Cricetulus griseus: one gene and its partners. The protein of the gene in region 1 interacts with the protein of each later gene in a pairwise test. Links are inferred from orthologs where the notes say so. Each region holds a gene or a part of one and is shown on either strand. Other genes may lie near its edges.

What was found.
Region 2: the proteins of Txn2 (region 1) and Scyl3 interact in binary tests that used the Homo sapiens proteins (3 or more experiments, as listed by UniProt). The two-hybrid records come from large-scale screens. The link is inferred for Cricetulus griseus from reciprocal best matches to the Homo sapiens genes TXN2 and SCYL3.
Region 3: the proteins of Txn2 (region 1) and Rbm45 interact in binary tests that used the Homo sapiens proteins (3 or more experiments, as listed by UniProt). The two-hybrid records come from large-scale screens. The link is inferred for Cricetulus griseus from reciprocal best matches to the Homo sapiens genes TXN2 and RBM45.
Region 4: the proteins of Txn2 (region 1) and Ppcdc interact in binary tests that used the Homo sapiens proteins (3 or more experiments, as listed by UniProt). The two-hybrid records come from large-scale screens. The link is inferred for Cricetulus griseus from reciprocal best matches to the Homo sapiens genes TXN2 and PPCDC.
Region 5: the proteins of Txn2 (region 1) and Trim21 interact in binary tests that used the Homo sapiens proteins (3 or more experiments, as listed by UniProt). The two-hybrid records come from large-scale screens. The link is inferred for Cricetulus griseus from reciprocal best matches to the Homo sapiens genes TXN2 and TRIM21.

What each region holds. Positions count from the first base shown.
Region 1 is NC_048595.1:375,026,082-375,030,139, reverse strand, and holds the start of Txn2 (thioredoxin, mitochondrial), read left to right. Parts: upstream 1-1,252; 5' UTR 1,253-1,401; intron 1,402-2,257; coding exon 2,258-2,520; intron 2,521-4,058.
Region 2 is NC_048598.1:28,407,958-28,411,978, reverse strand, and holds the start of Scyl3 (protein-associating with the carboxyl-terminal domain of ezrin), read left to right. Parts: upstream 1-1,221; 5' UTR 1,222-1,358; intron 1,359-1,364; exon of another isoform or gene 1,365-1,504; intron 1,505-1,633; exon of another isoform or gene 1,634-1,771; intron 1,772-1,777; exon of another isoform or gene 1,778-1,921; intron 1,922-3,327; 5' UTR 3,328-3,376; coding exon 3,377-3,541; intron 3,542-4,021. UniProt on the Homo sapiens protein: May play a role in regulating cell adhesion/migration complexes in migrating cells.
Region 3 is NC_048599.1:98,661,884-98,665,973, forward strand, and holds the start of Rbm45 (RNA-binding protein 45), read right to left. Parts: upstream 2,813-4,090; 5' UTR 2,697-2,812; coding exon 2,361-2,696; intron 1,166-2,360; coding exon 1,043-1,165; intron 627-1,042; coding exon 500-626; intron 1-499. UniProt on the Homo sapiens protein: RNA-binding protein with binding specificity for poly(C). May play an important role in neural development.
Region 4 is NC_048597.1:169,065,105-169,069,312, reverse strand, and holds the start of Ppcdc (phosphopantothenoylcysteine decarboxylase), read left to right. Parts: upstream 1-1,395; 5' UTR 1,396-1,491; intron 1,492-1,497; exon of another isoform or gene 1,498-2,012; intron 2,013-2,493; exon of another isoform or gene 2,494-2,637; intron 2,638-3,848; exon of another isoform or gene 3,849-3,911; intron 3,912-4,208. UniProt on the Homo sapiens protein: Catalyzes the decarboxylation of the cysteine moiety of 4-phosphopantothenoylcysteine to form 4'-phosphopantotheine and this reaction forms part of the biosynthesis of coenzyme A.
Region 5 is NC_048596.1:96,824,378-96,827,417, reverse strand, and holds part of Trim21 (E3 ubiquitin-protein ligase TRIM21), read right to left. Parts: intron 2,758-3,040; coding exon 2,527-2,757; intron 811-2,526; coding exon 788-810; intron 244-787; coding exon 143-243; intron 1-142. UniProt on the Homo sapiens protein: E3 ubiquitin-protein ligase whose activity is dependent on E2 enzymes, UBE2D1, UBE2D2, UBE2E1 and UBE2E2.

The DNA of each region.
Region 1 (4,058 bases):
CACCTCAGCAAACCACTAACTAATGAAAGAGTGGGTTGAAATGATGTGGCAGATAGAGTCCTGCCAATTTATCTGCTTCTACTTGGACACACCTTATTGGACACACCTTATAACGGTTTGACAGACACCATTTGCTGAAATGTGCAAAGATCCTCAATTTAGTAAGAATCTACTAAACAGTAAACATCCACTGGCCTCTCTGGGCCGGGTACTGTCCCAGGTTGGTGCTAAGTATATGCAGATGAGTAACAACTGTTATTCTTTTGTTTAAAAAGAAGAAAAGAGAAATATTGAGACAGACATAAGACTATAAGTTTATTATAAGCACAAGTTCCTACTCTGAGAAAGCATAGACTAGAGAAAGCATAGACACTGTAAGGTGCTATGAAGGGTTACAAAGCAAGCACTAGACAGAAGAAAGCAAAACTATTCAGAAGACATGATGGGCAGGTGCTCTAAGTACTGAGAGACAAAAGTTCAACATGAGCAAAGGTGTGGAAGAGGATATGAGCAGCAATGTGTTCCCAGAACCGTAGTATGTAGGAATAGGGTACTTAGACCTCAGTCACTCAAGCCAGTGGAAATGGAGAAAAGCCCCAGGCCCAAGCTTCACAGACGACACTTCACCTTGGGTCTCAAAGGCAAGCCCACTTCCCCAATAATTCCAAAAAGAAGGTTGACGGTTTAGAAGCACCACCAGCCCTTAGGGACAATGACGTTGGGCAGACAAAGCCAGGACAACAAAACAATCCCTTGATGCCCACGTAGGGATGTGTGTGTGTGTGTGTGTGTGTGTCGGGGGTATGTCTCAAGTATTCCCTATGTAGTCAAGGATGACTTTGAAGTCCTGAACCCTCCACCCAGTTTACGTGATACTGAGAATCGAACCCAGGCTTCATGCGTGCGAGGCAAGCGCTCTACCAATTGAGCCACAACCCCAGCCCGGGACAACCTTCCTTTAAACACTAAGTTTCTGCGGAACAGAGCGTGCTTCCCCGGTATTAAGTTGAACACAACATGCCAACCCTTTCCCGAACCACAAGATTCAGGGATGGGCGGTGCCAACAGGGTTCAACGCCCCAGAGATTTGTTCCAAAGCCACTCCTTCCTCTCCGCCCTCCCTCCAACTGCTCTCCCTCTCTCTCACTGGTCCCACCCCTCTTCCGGTCCTTCCTCCAGGAACCCATTCCTTCCGTTCTCCCCCCATCACCCGCCCCCGAACCTTTTTCCGTTATCCTCATTGGTGGAAAATACTGAACCGCCCCCAAGTTGCGAAGATACGCCGTCCGGGTAGTCTTTCCCGGAAATGACGCTAGTCCCGCCCCTGAGGAAGTGACAACAGAGTGCCCTTGACGGGCAGGCCGGCTGGGCTGTACGTCCCTCCGCTCTAGCTGCCGGGAGGTAGGAGCCCCGCGGGGTGGGCTGGGCGGCGCGGGTGGCGCGCTGCTGTGCAAGCCGGCCACAAGCGGAGGGAAGACCCGAGAGGGAGGATCTGGTCTCGGCAGCCGCACGACCTGTGCTCCCGGTCTCTCGTTTCCCTCCGTACACACATCCCCCCTTCTCTGTGGTACCCCATGCCTGGGTTCCCATGCTTCTTAGTTCCTCCTTCCGTAGTTGGGATTCTTCTTTGCTTATCCCTTTTCCCTCCTTAATTTCCCATGGAAACGCATTTTAAAAGAGCGATCGATAGAGTAAAGATTCTACAGATGCCTTGGGTTCCAATTAACTGTCCTTTTAAAACTGGGCTACTTTGGGCATGTCACTTAACCTACCTGAGGCCTGGGTCGTCCTGAATGTGAACGGTGTTAAAACAGTTTCTTCAGAATTGATCTGGGAGAACCAGTCATGAAACACACTTAAGCTTTGTTCCTCCTTCCATCAACCTTTTATAATTCCGCCTAAGCCTTGGTTTCTTTTTTTGGCTGTCAGCCTAGTTTCTGTCTTCTAACACATCTATTCTGTGATCCTCATTCCTCACTCACCTCTAGATATATTGTGGTTGGGGTGTGGAGGTTTTAGAGACAGGGTTTTACTATATAACCCAACTGACCTTGATTTATATTCTCCTGCCTCAGCCTCCCAAATGAGGGCAGGAATGACAAGTCCTGGCCCTCAAAAATTATATTACAGTATTTCCATGCATTTTGCTTCTCACTCTGCATGTTGCCAACACGTCAGTACTTTGAAATACTTTGTTTTCCTGATATGTTGACTTTCTGTTGTGTAGCCCAGCTCTTCCTGCTTCTTTCCCTCACAGATGGCTCAGCGGCTTCTCTTGAGGAGGTTCCTGACCTCAGCCATCCCCAGGAAGCCCCCTCAGAGTGGGTGGACTTCCCTCACCTCTAGAGCCCTGCAGACACCACAGTACAATCCTGGTGGTCTGACAGGAACATTCGGCCCAGCCCGAACATTATACACAACCAGAGTCTGCTCAACAACCTTTAATGTCCAGGATGGACCTGACTTTCAAGACAGAGTTGTCAACAGTGAAACACCAGTTGTTGTGGATTTTCATGCACAGTGAGTACTGGGGGCAGTGAGAGACAGGGGGTCTTACATCGCCCATCAGTGCCCACTGTTGCTCACAGCCTTGTTCAATGCTTCTCATTCATACACCCATTATGAAAACTTTTGAGACCCAGTACCTACCCTTAAGAAGCATGCAGTGAGCTGGGTGTGGTGACGCACGCCTTTAATGCCAGCACTTGGGAGGCAGAGGCAGAGGCAGGCGGATCTCTGTGAGTTCGAGGCCAGCCTGGTCTCCAGAGTGAGTGCCAGGATAGGCTCCAAAGCTACACAGAGAAACCCTGTCTGGAAAAACCAAAAAAAAAAAAGGAAGAAGAAGCATGCAGTGGGGCTGGAGAGATGGCTCAGAGGTTGAGAGCACTGATTCCTCTTCCAGAGGTCCTGAGTTCAATTCCCAGCAACCACATGGTGGCTCACAACCATCTATGAGATCTGGTGCCCTCTGCTAGCATGCAAATGTATATGTAGGCAGAACCCTACATATGTAATAAAAATAAATAAATAAAAAAGAAGCGTGCAGTGTGGTAGGAGACCGATTTACAAATAGTCTGCAGAGCAGACCAGGATGAGTGCTGCATTGTGCCTCTGTCTTGTATCTCGATGCCTGAAAAGCTCATAGTCTTCTCCAGTGTGAAGTAACATTTTGTTTTAACAAAACTGTGGGAAGGGCTGGGCAAAATGTTATCAGTGCCACCATAGTGGGACCCAAGTGTGTATGGGGTGGGCAGGAGGTGTGTTGTCTCAGTACTGTAGGAGTGTGTTTCAGATAAACACCTGCATTTTAGCCTGCTTTTCATTTCCAGATCTTTAGAACTGGTTCAACCAAAAAAACCAACAGACCCCGTAGAACAAAGCATCCCAGAAGAAACTAGTGTGTCTGGTTAACATTTGGAGGTTTTCTAGACACATCTCACAGTCTCTTTGTTTCTTTTGTGGTCCTTTCTCTGACTCACCAAGTTACCTCAGACAGGCCAGTGGGTGTCCTTGTCATCTGAGATAAGGCCTTGCATGCTTATTTATGTTTATTTTCATTTTTTATGTTTATTTGTTGATTGAAATTTCTGAATGCAAGTTTTGGGGGTAAGGATGATGGGTTGAGACAGGTCTCACTGTGTAGCCCATGTCATAGGTCATACTTGAGCCTCTTTTGTCTCTACCTCCTACATATAAGAGATCGGACTGGCATGTGCCGGCTCATAGAAAAAGATAAAACAGAAGCTGGGCGGTGATAGTGCACGTCTGTAATCCCAACCCTCTGGAGGCAGAGGCAGGTGGATCTCTGTGAGTTCGAGGCCAGCCTGGTCTACAGAGTGAGTTCCAGGACAGCTGGAGCTGTTACACAGAGAAACCCTGTCTTAAGAAAAGGATAAAACAGGAGTTGACAGCCAGGGATCTGTGGGAGATAATTACTCCACCCTACTGCTATGGTGGAGGGCTTTTGAAAGGAATGTTCAATGAGCTAACCCTTTTTTCCCCTACAAGGTAGTTGATTGGGTGTTTCAGTGTAGTGATAGTTTGTTTATGATATAACA
Region 2 (4,021 bases), on another chromosome or scaffold:
TCCTCTACACACTAACAAAACTTTTATCACCTACATCCAGTTAGGAAAGTCAAATCTGTGTGTCCCCTTTTGCTACAGAGTTAAATGTCCACTGGAGAGAATGATCAGAATCCTTATTAGGGGGGAATGTAAAGTTTACCTGTGGCTTCAAAATAACGGGACTTAATCCAGGGATTTAAGAGTTGATTTATTTAGAGACCTGAGTGAAATCACAGATAGGTAAGTGAGTAGATAAGTAGTGGGAAGGATATTAGTTTAAGGTGTGTAACTTTTGTTTATGCTGCATTTGTTAACTCCGTAAAGCTGTGATTCTTTGCCTATCTAAAACACCTGATGGTCTAATAAAGAGCTCAACAACCAGCCAATAGCAAGACACAAACAAGGATAGCAGGCAGATAAAGAGTATAAATAAAAGGAGAAATAGGAAAGAAGAGGAGCAGCAAGAGAGGAGAGGAGGGCCGCAGGGGCCAGCCATCCAGCTACACAGCAATCCACACAGTAAGGGGAAGATTAACAGACGTAAGAAAACAAAAAAAGCCTAGAGGCAAAAGGTAAGAAGAGTAATTTACGTTAAGAAAAGCTGGCTGGAAACAAGCCAAGATAAGGCCAGACATTCATAAGAATAAGACTCCATGTATTATTTTGGGTGCTGGGTGGCAGGCCCCCTAAAAGCCAAGAGTAAAATAATCGCACAACAGGAAAGTAGTGTGTCTTCCAGTTCTCTCATTCATTCAGCAGGAAATTTTCTTGTTAATTTTGGAAGTGTAGATGGCCATCGTGTTTAGGAGAACGGGAAACAGGTTATCCAAGATCCCATCCACAATTGGACTTGGATCAATGATCAAAGAATGAATGAATTGACTCCAGGCTGAAGTCTCAAATCTAAAAATGCCAGAATCACCATGATTTCTGACAACTTCACCAGTGGTTCAAAAAAAAAAAAAAAAAAAAAAAAAATCTTCCCAGGTAGCTCGGCCAATCACGTGTCCAGGAAGCGGAGAGTCACTACCGGAAAAGTTCTGTCTCAGCACCAAACTCCTCCTTTTGTCCCGCCCCTTTACTACCGTACTTGTCTGAAGCCAGAGGCGTCCATTTTGGATTCGGGCGGAAATGAAGTCAAAACCGGCCGGTTAAAAACCCAAACATTAAAACTAGGACACCTGTGCAATCGAGCTGAAAGCACACGCCGACGGGTTTCTCTGCAGCGGGAGCCGGCGGCTGGGGGCCGGCGTGAGACGCAGGCTTCCCTGGCGCCCACACCTGCAGATGACACCGGCCTGAGCATCACCTGTGCGGCCGCTCTAGCTCGGTTCCGGGTTCGCGCGCCTCGGTGGTGGCGTAGGAGGAACTGAAGGCCGGTGTGTTGACCCGTTTCCGGGCCCTTGTGGTGCGGTCTGAGCCGGGTCCTCGGGAGGCATAGGGTGCAGGGGCCTAGGTCTGAGTGTCCGAGCCGGCCGCGGGCCAAGAGGGAGCAGAGCCGCCAGCCTCCTCCCGCCGCCCGCAGGTAACCGGGGGCCGAGCGGCCTGGCCCGGGCGGCTGCGCAGGGTGGGAGCGGGGTCGCCGCTCGCGGGGAGCGCTGGCGCGGCCGGTTCGTTGAGCGCTGGCTGCTCCGGCTGGTTCGGGGTCCCCTCTCTCTGGCTTCTCGGGTGACCCCTGCCGTCGCGGCCGAGGCCGGGGGACAGCGAAGAGGCCCGGCCGGGAATCCAGCGGGAAGGTCGCGCGATGCAAGGGTCCCAGGCAGCGCCAAACCCCCGGGGCCTCATGCGTAGAGTAAGGATAACATACACGTGTCTCCCAAAGTGGTTTTTGCTGAATTTGGGGATCACGGTTGCCGCTGGCTTGAGGGGCTGGAGTGTATCCTGAGCTGAGGTCAGACGAAGTACTTTTAGTCCCGACTACATGATAGCCAGCACTGTGGGGGTGAGTTCTTGACCAACACCATGCAAGGCTGAAACACATCAAAGCACAGGGCTGCTACTGAGGTTTACCACCCAGTAGCTAAGTGCCACGAGTAAGGCATATCCTTCGCACTCTCGGGGCAAGCCCAAAGCTTTGGCACTTTGAAGCTAAGGGATATGGAGCCAAGAGAATCTCTACTAATTGTTGGGAGAATACATAACAGGGACATACTTCCCCTCTTTCCCTTTCCTCCCTCCAATCAATCCACCTCCCCATTGTTGTGTCAAATTCCTGGTGTCTTTTTCTGTTATGAGTGTGTATTCCTAAATACAGAACTACAATCTGCTCAGTCTGTACAATGTTACCTGCATCTCTCTGATCTCGGGCGAGCCACTTGGTATTGGATACCCAATTGGGAACTCTTCCCTTTGGAAGAACACTTAGCTGGTTCTCAGCATTCCCCAGCTGCCTGTGGTTCTTTGGCTAGGGAGGGTTGTGTGAGCTTTCATGTGAGCTTTCGTGTGAGCATGTCCATTAGTGTCCTCATTGTCTTATTTAGGCAGCCATGCTAATGAAACTGGATGGTATCCTTCTTTGACTTTCTAGGAGATATAATCTCACAGCAAACTTCCTGCTCCTCTGGTTTTTACAACCCTCTCTTCAATAATCCCCAAGCCTAAGAAAGATAAATTGCTAGGTATGTCAAAGCTCAGTGCATTTGCTAAAGAGCAAAGTTTGTTGTCACCTACAGACATTCTTAGATTTCTGTAGCTTTTTGCCATAGTGCATTTTGTGTTCCTCATACAGTAATGTGTGTGCATCTGTACACATTTTAAATTCTGTGATAGGCTTGTATTCTAGGCATCATTACATAATAACAAATTATTCTGTAGCTCTTCAAGTGGGAGGGAAATCTAAGACATGTGTCATGATTATTAGGTTTGTATTTATACAAAGACTACTTTTGGGGGACTGGGGGTTCAAAACAGGGATTCTGTGTGGAACCCTAACTGTCCTAGAACTCACTTTGTAAATCAGGCTAACCTTGAACTCAGAGATCCACCTGACTCTGCCTCCCAAGTGTTGAGATTAAAGGCATGTGCCACCACTGCTGTCACCTCCAGCAGCACTGTCTAAGACTACTTATGTTTAACTGAAAAGTTTTACAAGCCTTTATAAAATTTATGTGTGATTAGGTTTGGAAGGAAGTCCATGTGGCTATTTGGTAACACACAATTTCTCTGGAGTTGTTAGTTGTTTATTAACAAGGATTCCTGATAACTTGCTGTTCGTTGACTGTATTATTGAATGCAATTGTTGGCACTGCAGGAATGATGAATAAGTCCCAGTGGGCACTTTGGGGTAAGCTGGATAGCCACCTGGCTTCTATTTGCTTGATGTTCTCATTTGTCTCTGCTGTGTTGCAGATCTGTTTGACTTGAGGAGGAGCTGCAGTACGGCCTCACTACAGGAGGGATGGGATCAGAGAACAGTGCTTTAAAGAGCTATACACTGAGAGAACCACCATTCACCTTGCCCTCTGGACTTGCTGTTTACCCCGCCATACTGCAAGATGGGAAATGCGCCTCGGTGTTTGTATATAAGAGAGAAAATGAAGACAAGGTTAACAAAGCTGCCAAGGTACTGTGATGGGTTTGTCTTCATAGGGCTTTTAATTATGAGTTTTCCCCTCAAATGAAGTTCATTTGAGGGCAATATGGTCACAAGCAGTGGTATTTTATTACCCGGTGTCACATAAAAACAGTTGTCTGTCTCTAACAAACCATCCCAGCAGCCAAAGATTTCACAAAACTCCTTGTGATCGCTTTTATCACAGTGCTTTTAACCAGAAAGATAGGCAGGTGGTTTCATACTGCTAATCTAAGAGATGGGATTCATCTAGTTTAACAAAAATGCTGCTTATTGATATTTTAATTAGTGTGTAGGTATGCTTGAAAATAAAGTATTTTAGGAATTTATATTATCTTTCTTGCCCTGAAACACTGTAATGTGACAGAATTTTCAAAAATATTTTATTTGTATCCTTTGTGTATGAATATTTTGCCTGCATGAATGTAATGGGCCATGTGTTTTCATTTGGTAGCCAGGGAAGTCAGAAGA
Region 3 (4,090 bases), on another chromosome or scaffold:
ATAACAAGCCAAGTATGCCCCCTGCTTATGTGATAACTCAGTTCATCTTGACAACTCAGTCACCAAGATGGCTTCAGCACATGGCTAGTTCATAAGTCCAAAACATTTCCATCCTTCAGTCATATATTTATAATTCAAATATCATATATTTACTCACTACTTACTTAACTTTAGCAAAAATCTAGTAATAGACCCTTTTATTTAAAATAATGAGAATTCTTTTCCAAAAGGCCCGTTAGCAAGGATAAAAAACAAACACTTCTGGAAACAGAAAGATGGCTCTGTGGTTAGGAACATGTGTTGCTCTTCCAGAGGACCTCGTTTCCCTTCCCAGTACCCACACAGTGGCTCACAACCACCGGTAACTCCAGTTCCAGGAGATCTGATCTCGTCCTCTGGCCTCTGGCCTCTGTAGGCACTGCATCCATGTGAGACACAGATGTACATTCAGGCACAACAATCACACACATAAAACAAAACTTAAAAAAAAACCTCTTACTTCTATCACAGTTTTCTATTGCTTGGGCGGCTTGTGATGGTTTTAAATATCGCACGTAGCCCAGACCTTTACTTTCTCCAGTGACTTTATTTTTAATAATGCTGCAATACTCGATGTCACCATACACCTACAAGAGTTAAAGCCAAATTTTAGGACAAAACCACTTGGAGGAAAAACCTTTCCGTGAATGAGTACAATGTCAACATAGCACAGGCCATGGTAAGTATTAGTCAACATAGCTTACCTGCTCCAGCCTGACTCAGGCCTGCGACTCACTCTACAGAGAGGCAAGAGAAATGAGAACCAAGAAGTGCTTTGAGATTTTTAAAGACCCAGGGCAGGTTCTGGGGGCACAGCAGGTTTAAATCTTGGCACCACCACCTATTAGCTGTGTGGTTTTAATGAAAACACCCTGGCTTTGTACTTTACTTTCTCAGCCTATACTTTAGGATGAAGTCTGGGCAGAGGGGACACTCGCTACTACTGCGAGTTGTTAGTAACTGTACAGTGTTGAAAATGGAGTTGTGATAAGAACACACACACCTTAAATTTCTCCCGTAGGTCTTCCTCTGTATAGGACTTTGGTATCATAACGAAGATTCTTGTGAGTTCTTCATCTTCAACATCTCTGTGACTTCCTGATGATCGGGACTGAGCAATGAAAACCTAAGAAACATACAAAGCCCTCAGAATAATGTTAACTGTACTCCTATACTGTACTCCCTGCACTCAGGAAGTCAGGCAAGCAGATCTTAAGTTCAAAGCCAGCATAGTCTACATGGGAAGACCCTGTTCCCCCCAAAAGAAGATACTATAAAACAAAAACAAACCAAAATGCAACTAACAACTGGGGTATTAGTATAAATGACTAAGTCAATCTAGTCGATGCATCAGGAATTAAGTATCCAAAGGAAGACACAAGAGAGGCTCCAAGAAAATGCAAACATTAGAGGAAAAAAAGGGGCCACGGGGAAAATGAGATCAGAGGAGCCATCAGATCATAGATGTCTAAATTTTAGAGTTTAAACTGTTTACAATCTTTGATAAAGGCTTGGATCTACACAAGACATGAATCACTACTTGTTCGCCTTGTTTTCACACGGTTTAACTCCTTCCCTATCTGATACACAGCATCCTGGTGCAGAAGTGGGAGAGACTCCAACCCAGCCAATTCTTGTAAAACCAACGCCAGAACTCCCCCAACCCCTGAAACGTTTGCCCCTCTCTAGTTTGTAGCATAGCTTGTCACAAAATAATTTTACTTTGATAATCTTGTGAGTACAGGCTGGTACTGTAATATCCCTTGAACTTTGTAAAAATAAAATACTTGAGAAAAAAAAAAACACTAAAACTAAATTATCTAGTAGCAAAGGTTAATCAAAGTGTCCGAGAGAGGTGGGTCAGAAACGTTCTCCCAATAGACAGGAAGAGGTAGGGGTCAACTGAATTATGGTAAGTGACAGCCATGGATGGCTGCGCTGTCCTTGGCTGTGGCTACCCAATCTGTTCCCAGGGGAAGATGCTCCTTTGGCCACAGGGCGGGGTTCCTCTCCTCCTAGCCATTCCAGACCCATGCATGGGCGGGGTTCCTCTCCTCCTCTCCTCCTGGGAGAGCTCCTGGGAGCAGATTCCAACTCCTTTACTACCTGATACACATCATCCCGGGTGCAGCAAAGGTGCGGGAAGAGACCCTAACCCACACCGTCTTAGCCTCCGCTGACACCCCAACCCCTGGCACCTCTACCCGAGACAACCCCAACCCGGGCACCCTTATCCCAGACACTCTGACCCGGGCATCCCTACCCCAGCTACCCCAACCCGGGTACCGTCACCCAAGACCCCCCAAACCGAGCATCTCTACCTCACACACCCTAACGTAGGCACCCCAGTGCAGCACCTTGATGGGCTTGGTGTCATTGGGGCCAAGGCACTGTCCGTGCATCTCCTCCATAGCCCGGCAGGCCTGTGAGCTTCGGGCGAACTTGACGAAGGCGACGCCCTTGGACTCCTTGGTGTGTTTGTCGCGCACCACCCAGATGTCCTGGATGTCTCCAAAGGGCGAGAAGCGCTCCCTCAGCACCGATTCGGACGTGTACTTGCTGATCACCAGGAAGATGCGGCTGTTGGGCGGCTCGTCCAGGCTGTCCACGCCGGGGCGGAAGCCTCCGCTGCCCGCGGAGCTGCTGGAGTCCTCCATGGTGCTCCACCTTGGGGAGGGAGCCAGGCGCGGGGCTCCGCCGGCTCAGTCAGCCCGGCCGCCAACCAGCCGGCCGCCGCGGCCGCGGGTCCACAGCTCCGCTTCCGGAAAGCCCAGAGCCCGGAGGCAGGTGCTGTCCCACAGAGAGCGAGGCTGGCTTCCGGGAGCATTCCGCAGCGCCCCCTGGCGCCGCGGGGGACTCTGAGCAGTCCCAAATCTCAGTCCCATGGAAACCAAGAATCAGTTTGTGCAAGCTAGGTTGCCCTGTTGCCAAAAAGACCCACCTGCCAGATGCTCAAGCCTTCCCAAAGCTGGTTTCTGGCTTCTTCTAAGCCCAGAATGTGTTGTTACAAAACGATTACTCTTCACCCTTTTAAAAGATAAACTGGATGATGCGGTGACACATGCCTGTTATCCCAGTCTGTCAGATTGCTACATTGGAGGCCTCACGGGCTACATAGTGAGTTCGAGGCCAGCATCTGGGCAACACTCTATTTTCAAAAAGAAAACAAACAACAACAAAAACACCAAACCAAAAATAAATAAAAAATTGGCAGACTTCACTCTTAAGGGTTCATGGTGACAGGAACAAAGGGCCAGTGCAATGGCTCTTGGAGCAAAGGAGAGATACTGGACTTGGTTCCCGTAAGAGAAGTGAATATTTATGACAGGGTAGTATGAAAGTCATTAAATGAAAAATTACTGAAATGGGAGGGGATAAGAGGGACTCTTGATAGATCTGCTTCACAGAATTCATGTTGCAGGCAGGCCAGAGTGACAGATATTAATAGCAGTGAGGCGTCACTGCCCTGATTTATCAGAGACATGGAAGTTTGGAAAAGTCAAACAGAAGACTTGGGGGAGTTTGAAGTTTTGATGACAACAGGGAGTCCTTGTCACCATTTTGACCATAAGCTCAATTTAGAGTCACTATAGACAGAATTTGTGGCGGTTTGAATAGAAATGACCCCCATAGGCTCTTATGTTTGAATGTTTGGTCATTAAGGAGTGCTGCTATTGGAGAGGAGGTGTAGCCTTATCTGAGTGGATGTGGCCTTGTTGGAGGAAGTATGTCACTTGGGGTGGGCTTTGGGAGTTTCAGAAGCCCAAGCCATATCTACTTGTCTGCAGCCATGCTTCCCACCATGATGACAATGGACAAACCCTCTGAAACAATAAGCAAGACCCAATTAAATGCTTTCTTTTATAAGAGTTGCCATGGTCATGGTGTCTCTTTACAGCAATGCAAACCTGACTAAGACAGTTAAAACTATAGAGCCTGACAGCTGAAAGGAGCCTGTAAGGCATGAGATCCTAGCCTCATTCTTTAGAGATGAGGAATCTTAGGCCCAAAGTTAAGAGGCTCAAGTAACAGAACCAGGCCCAGAGGCCAC
Region 4 (4,208 bases), on another chromosome or scaffold:
TTAGGCTTAGTTGATTCTCTCCCCTACTGTTTTCCCTCTGGAGAGCAGTTGTCACATGCCCTGGTACCCTACAGAGACCCAGGGCTACGCCCTCCCTCTTCTTCCCTTCTCCTGACCCCAGACTTCTTTTTCCCTTCTCTTGGTCCTCTGGAAGTTCCGCGAGGGCTGTGATCCAGCTGCCAGCCTAGCATCCACGATCTGTTGGATGTTACCTCCAATTTCCTGTCCTACTGCCCTTTCCTCTTTCCTGGCTCAGACCTATTGGCCATGCCTGGCGCTGCCCTTGGGAAAGCCTGTTACCAGTGTCTGGCCCAGCTGCTCAGGCCCTGGAATGCTGCATCTCCAGGCAACTATGCACTTTCATGAGGAGGGAACCAGGATGAGAAAGGGGGCTGGGCACAGATGGTTTAATTTGGGGGTGGGAGGAGGGCCCAGTTGGTTCTGGGGATCCTCCTGTCTGTTGCCAGCCAGTGACCTGCTTTTGCATTCTCCTGGTGCCCACTGCCCCTTGTTTCTGAGAGACACACATTATTCCCTAGCTGGCAGTTGACCTGCCTGAGCCAATGTGTCTATCTGTGGTAACTGGATGAACCATAATAAAAGGGATCATTTGACCCTGTCTATTCTGTGTTGCTTGTCTTCATGTGGGTCTTAATGAAGTCTTGATATGGGATGTGAGGCAGGGGTGTAGGGCTGGGTTGAGTGGATCTGTGGCCTGGAATTCTGTGATCATTTCCCTAAAGCAGCCTTGAGTAGGCCATGAAGTACATGCCACAACTACCAGTTAAGAAGAAGAAATAAAGTGCTCTGCTGGCAATGGTAGGACTGGAACACAGGCCCTTCCTCAGCTCCCCTGGGGGATCACCTGAAGCTAATTCAGCAGCCTCCATGCACACAAGTTCTTGAGACCTGTGGTTGCTCCAGCGTGATGAAAACTATTCCAATATGCCGAGTCTTTGCCAAGTGTACTCACTAGGAATGCTGTCTAGATCCTCTGTGCTGGTCACTCCTCAAGATACCTTTCAAGTAACCGTGGGTGCCGTAGCGCGCTCCTTTAATCCCATTATGGCAGAGGCAGGTAGATGTCTGAGTTCCAGACCAGCCAGGGTTAAAAAGAAAAAAATTTTTTTTCCAAGTGACCCCTTCAATGACAAGGCTTTCCTGCTTAGGATTGTGGCTTAGGTCCTGCAGCTTCCTCATTCTTAGCCTCTAATTTTCTGTACTCCTGTTTGTCTCAAGAGCCGAACTGCCTTTTAGAACAGGCGCAGTAAATAGAATTAAGTGCCAGAGTTCTGAACAGGTGCGCGGGGTAATTGGCAAATCACACAACTATGTAGGTCCTGGAGCGAGCTCCGGTGACTACAACTCCCAGAAGGCAGAGTAGACTACGGCTCCCAGAAGGCCATGCGTTCACGTAGCTCTCTCGCGTGCCCTTTAGACTCGGAGGGTAAGGGCGCCTAGATACCGCGATACTTGGGGCGGCTGGCGCGGGTGAGCGGTGGAAGGGGCTGGGAAGTGTTGTCCCGGGGATCGGCGTGGTGTGGCGGTGGGAGAAGCTCCTCAGGCTGTGGGTCCGAGCGAGGGTGGATGTGCGATTATGTGTGTGATGTGGGGCCACCGGCGTGCTCTCGCGCTCAGGGTTGGGGGACAGCAGCCGCACCTGCGCCCGCTGACCTGCGCTATCCTTGAAAGAGGCGCAGCCAGGACACCCACACTCGACGCTTACCTTTGAAAACTGCAGCGTAGGCTGCGTCCTAAGAGATCCAGGAGCGTCCCGATGTGAAAACGGTCTTAAAGTTACATTTATTTTGGATGGGGTGCTGTCACGGCATGCGTGTGGAGATCATACAACTTGTGAGATTCAGTTCCACCGTGTGAGGCTGCAAGCCACCTTACTGAGCCAACTTGCCTCAAGCTATTTTAAATGAATAAACTAGAGAAAGAAAAACCCTGGGAGTGTTTAGTTGCTTAATCCCTAAACGTGCGGAGCGGCATTTAAAAAGTAGAGTGAGGTCAGTTTTTTTTTTTTTTTTTTTTGTCTGAAAAAATTTCCTGATCAAATATTGGAAGCCAGAACTAGCTAATGGGCAGGAGAGAGCCTCGGGAAGTGGTGGGTGCTTGGGAACTGGGGGTTTTGCTCCGAGATGTGTCCTCAGGAGGTACCCAAATGAACTGTAGGAGCTTTGTGCCCAGCGTTTTGAATGAGAACGAGCGTTCCTTGCTTTTCCTAACACCTTAAAAGGGGTTTAGGTGCCGGGCGGTATGGGTTTTGGTGTAGGGTGGTTACATTTTTCTGGCTACATCCTTGCCCATTTTGTTACTGGCAGATATCCATGAAACTGAAACTTCAGTTTGACCTTGATTAAACAGAAGATTGATAAGGCACACGCTGAGGCCCTTTTCTCGGTGTGTGTGTGTGTGTGTGTGTGTGTGTTCTCACTGTCTTAAATTCTCTTTCTCTTTTACTTTTTTTTCCCTTTCCCTTCATGACAGGGTCTCTCAGTGTATCCCCGGCTAGCCCAGAACTCACTGTGTAGACCACACTAATCTTGAATTCATGGAAAACTGCCTACTTGTTCACCTGTGCTGGGATTAAAGGCATGTGCCATCACACCCCACTTTTTCTTACACATAAGAGTAAGTTTAAGTTCTGTGGTTATAATACAAGTCAAATAAGAATAGGAAAAACGCGTTTTCTGCACATGCTGCTTTAAGACTGGTCTAGCAATAAGCTGTAGACCTCACATTGGGAATATAGGCGTCTTCCTGTACCTGCACTTCAGTCTGTGAGGAGTGGAAAGAAAAATTAACCCTGAGTTCAAGGATAGCCACGAGAAACTCAAGTTTGACTCCGGAGGTTTAAAGGGAACACTGAATCATATGATAAAACAAGCTTGTCTTTTGAGTCTTTTTCCCGGGAGGTCAGTAGTGGTGGGAGAGAATTAGATATTACAATGTTCAGCTCCTGGACATGCCTGGACAAGCATGATGTAGAGGTCAGGGAACACAGACATGTACTGACTTGTCTGTTCAAACCAGTGAGCTCCATGTATAGGGAGGAGAGCTAGCTGTCCTGACTGCTGGAGAACCTGTGCTGCAGAGCATCAGGAGGTGCAGCATCCACCAGCTAGGAAGAAACACAATTGTGAGCCATTTTAAAGTGTAGAAAACAGCTTCTCTCTTATTGCTGTGGTTTGGAGGTTAGGTTTATTATGAAAGCAAAGGGTCCTCCCATCTTTCTGAAGGATGGAGAAAGTGCAGTGTCCTGGCTGTGGTTCTCCTACATGGCTCGGTGCCCCTGTCCCCCGAGCTCAGGAGGAATCATGACTTTTCAGTCACGGCCTGCTGCCTGCTTGTCCACTCTCCTGGACTGCTCACAGTTCCTGTTAGTGGCAGGGGTAGGGAATCGAGGTGCTGCCTATAGTCACCCTGACTGTCAATAAATGAAAATTCCAAAAATCTTTAATAGGATCTGGGTGGAGGAAGAGACTGAATTGGCTTGGAATTTGATCTTGGAGAGCAAACTCTGACCAGCTCTCACTTCCCCTGGGACTCTCAGGTTGAACATATTTGACCTCGATTCCAAATATTGGTTAAATAATCTAGTTTCTATTCTTCAACTATAAATCAGTCTCCCTCTTTCCCCAACCTTCCCCCCCCCCCAGAAGAATGGCTTTGGTCCTGAGCAAAACTTGGTTACAGATCAAGCATCGTATCTTGGGTTGGAATAAGCAGCGCAGAGTCCTGCCTCCAGTTTGATTGACAGCTTTCTGTAACATGACCCGTGGGAATTTTATCTTCTTGAGGTTCAGGGACTGCAGGGATGAAGCTGTGCTTCTGTTTTGCAGGACTCTCCCTGTTTTGCACCATTTGACTGAAGTAGGACAGGGTCAAGGTTTGAGGACTGACAGGTAAGTTTTGCTGGAGAATCAAGAATATGTTTCTCAGGGAACTGGAGAGATGGTTCAGTGGTTAAGAGCATGTGCTGCTCTTGTAGGGGAGCCGAGTTCCATTCCTATTACCTGTGCACACCCGTGCCGGGCAGCTCACAACTGCCCCAAGCTCCAACTCAAAGGTGATGGGATGCCTTTGGCCTCAGAGCATCTGCACTCAAGTGCACATGGTCACCTGCAGGCACATAATTAAAAATAAAATAATTAAACAACAAAAACCAAAACGCATCTCTCACCTACTAGTGATGTCATTTG
Region 5 (3,040 bases), on another chromosome or scaffold:
CCTTACCTGTGTGTCTGTACTACACTTACATTCTCTTGACACCTCTTCCACATGCTACCATCCTGTGCTCTCCATGACCGTCTACTCTGCACCCTTATTATCCCCTTCTATTCCAGCCCACAGTTCCTAGAAGTCACCTCACCCCAACATGTCCTCAGCATCTTCTTCCGCCCTGGCACATGGCATGCATTTGTCAGGTCCGGGGAGGTAACATCTAATGATTCCAGGTTCAAGGATCTACTCCTAGGGAAAAAAGAGTTTGAGAATCTTACTTGGCACTCCTGTCTTCTACTCTAGGTCCTAATGACATTCTTCATGGACTGACTTTGATAATCACATTCAATACAAACTTACAAATACTCATGAATTCACTGTCTATGTGAAAGGAAAAAAAAATAGTTTCAGAGTTCCACGTTCTAGGAAACTCAAATAAACCTCCACCTCTTCCCAAAGCTAGAGGTCACTACTAAGTGGATTCCATTTAGTTTTCAGGCAACCATCTAATAGGGTGAGTTCTGTGAAGAACCTGGGGAGTCCTAGCAGACTCAGATTACCTTTTTTTGGCGTGGGGACTTTATAAAGATGATATAGTCTAACTACATCAGGCAATCCACCAAGTGAGATGCCCATTAGCCTTTTGAGGCCAGAGAACAATTTAGAGAGGACCAGGTTTCTGAGAATAGGGTGCATGGGGAAAACTCCCAATACATGTGTGCCTAACTCAGTAACCATTTCTATGCACACATACTTCCCGTTCCCTTTTCTAACTGAGGAAACCTCTCCTTACCTTTCCAGGACAATTGTCACCTCCTGAGGAGAGAAGAGACACAGAGTCAATTCTGGAGTTTCTGATTGACAGAATTCCCAGGGTCATGTGACATCACCCATGTTTCCTCTGGGCCCTGCTCTGCAGCCTTTCCTTGGGCCACAGACAATTCTGACTAGTTCTTAGCAGAAAGGACTCATGGCTGCTCTTAGAATATCTAGGAAGCTAACATGGATATGGCCTGTAGCTAGGATATGACCAGGGCTTTACAGACTGATTGAGAAAACAAATTAGAAGGGCTAGGTTCTTGGAGGAGGGGGGTTTACCATGGAGACAGTAGAAGAGGAAAATAAATAACACAACCTGACTGAAGCCCAGAGGCAGTTGCAGGAAGGATATCCTTCCTGCTGAGGTAGGATATCCAGAAAGGCTCCTTGCCATTTATGGGATTGAATAGTTTGGGGAGAAAGGGTTAGTTGGTTGAAAGCTTTGTCCTGTGCTGTGGTTAATCCTCTGCCTTATTTAGAGTGAGCTTAAGTGAGAATATTCCTTCCCATAATGTTGGAACTGGCAACCTTCTAGGCTCAGTCAAAAGGCACTAGGGAGCCAGTTCAGGGATAGGAAAGGGAAAAGCAAGGGAAAGCCTTCCAAGCCAAACCAATATAATCAGCTTTTCTGAACAAACACTCAAGGAAATGTTTATCTGAGAGACAGGGACGGAGGTGTGAGAAAAGAAGCACAGAGATCATCTAGACCATAGTCTTCCAACGTGGGGTGGGGCTAACATATCATGGGTGGATGCAAGATGGCTTTAGAATACACACGGATTTTAAAAATAATGATGTACGTGTTTCATCTTATTTTTTTGTCTCTTACTACTTAGATAAACTGACGTCATTTAGCTTGACTCTCTCACTAAGTCTCTTAATGTCTCTGCTCCTTAGTTTTCTCACCCATGGACTTGGATCACAGTAGCACTTACCTGAACCATGGTAAGTCATCTGTGTGCTGTTTAGGAATCTGCAGTTATCATTACGGGAAAAAATTAGAAAAAACAGTAGCACCAATATGTAATTTCTTAGTTATCATGCCTTGGCAAAAATTATTTTAAAGCTAAATTTATTTTGGGGAAAGAGTGAGACTATTTGCAGAAGCAGAACAAATTAAAAATCATGTAGGGAGCTCTCAGGAATCCAGGAAGTATTAAAATCCAACTACGACTAATGTTAGGCACACTTTCCTGCATCCACTCCCCTTATGGCTTCATCAGTGGAGACACTGACTATAGGAAAGAAAAACAGTCCCATAACCTATCACTATGGAGAGAAATGACACAACTCAGTTTTGGAAATTATACTTTCAAAAACATTCTTATGGCTACTTGTCTAAGCACCAGAATGGATGTTCTCATTTAATTCCTTAAAAAAGAAAACCACTTGAGATATGTAAATATTTATATATAATATATATATATATATATATATATATATATATATCCATATATCCTGGTGACGTGTGCTAAGTGTCATGCTCCAGCTCCCACACCTGGCACTACCGGGGATGTCCATCTATTGGCTACTACTTGGAGCATGTTCTCTTGTATCTATACCCTGTTGTTCTGCAATGGAAGCCACTCCTGGGTCCACATTTCTGTTTATTTAAGAATGTCCCAAAGATTAAGGCAGCACTTGCATTAGGAGCCATTCCAGAGAGTTCTGGTTTTCTCCCAGTTACTCCTGGTGCCTGTGCATGGGTCTCACCTGCAGTAGCTCCAGCTGGGAGCCCCGGCTCCTCCTCTCCAGCTCTGCGATCAACTCCTGCAGGGCCTGGTTCTTCTCAGCTAGCTCAGCCTCCTTCTCCCCCAGGAATTTCAGGTGCTCCCTCTCATCCTTCTCCAGTTTCTGTAGCTGCCTCTGCTCTTCCTTGGCCAGCAAGCTATTCTGATGTACAAACTCCGAGTGAATCCTCGACTTTTGTATGTCCACGTTTCTCTGAGGTGGCAAGGGCAAGACAGGAGTTTTGCATTTTTAGTTTTAATAAAAATTTCCTAGGCTTTGGTGGCAGAGGCGTTTCTGTTCCCTGGTCACTCATCCCTCTGTTTATGTCTGGGAATAGGTGCGCGCACACACCCACAACAATGTGCGCTCTCCAGTGTGCACACGGCTGGCCTCTAGCAAACAGCATTGTTTAAGTGGCACACAGCAACTTCTGGCACCAACATCTTCTCAACTTTTCTTCCAAAACCCAGTAATGCCTATGTGAGTCCCTGTGTTC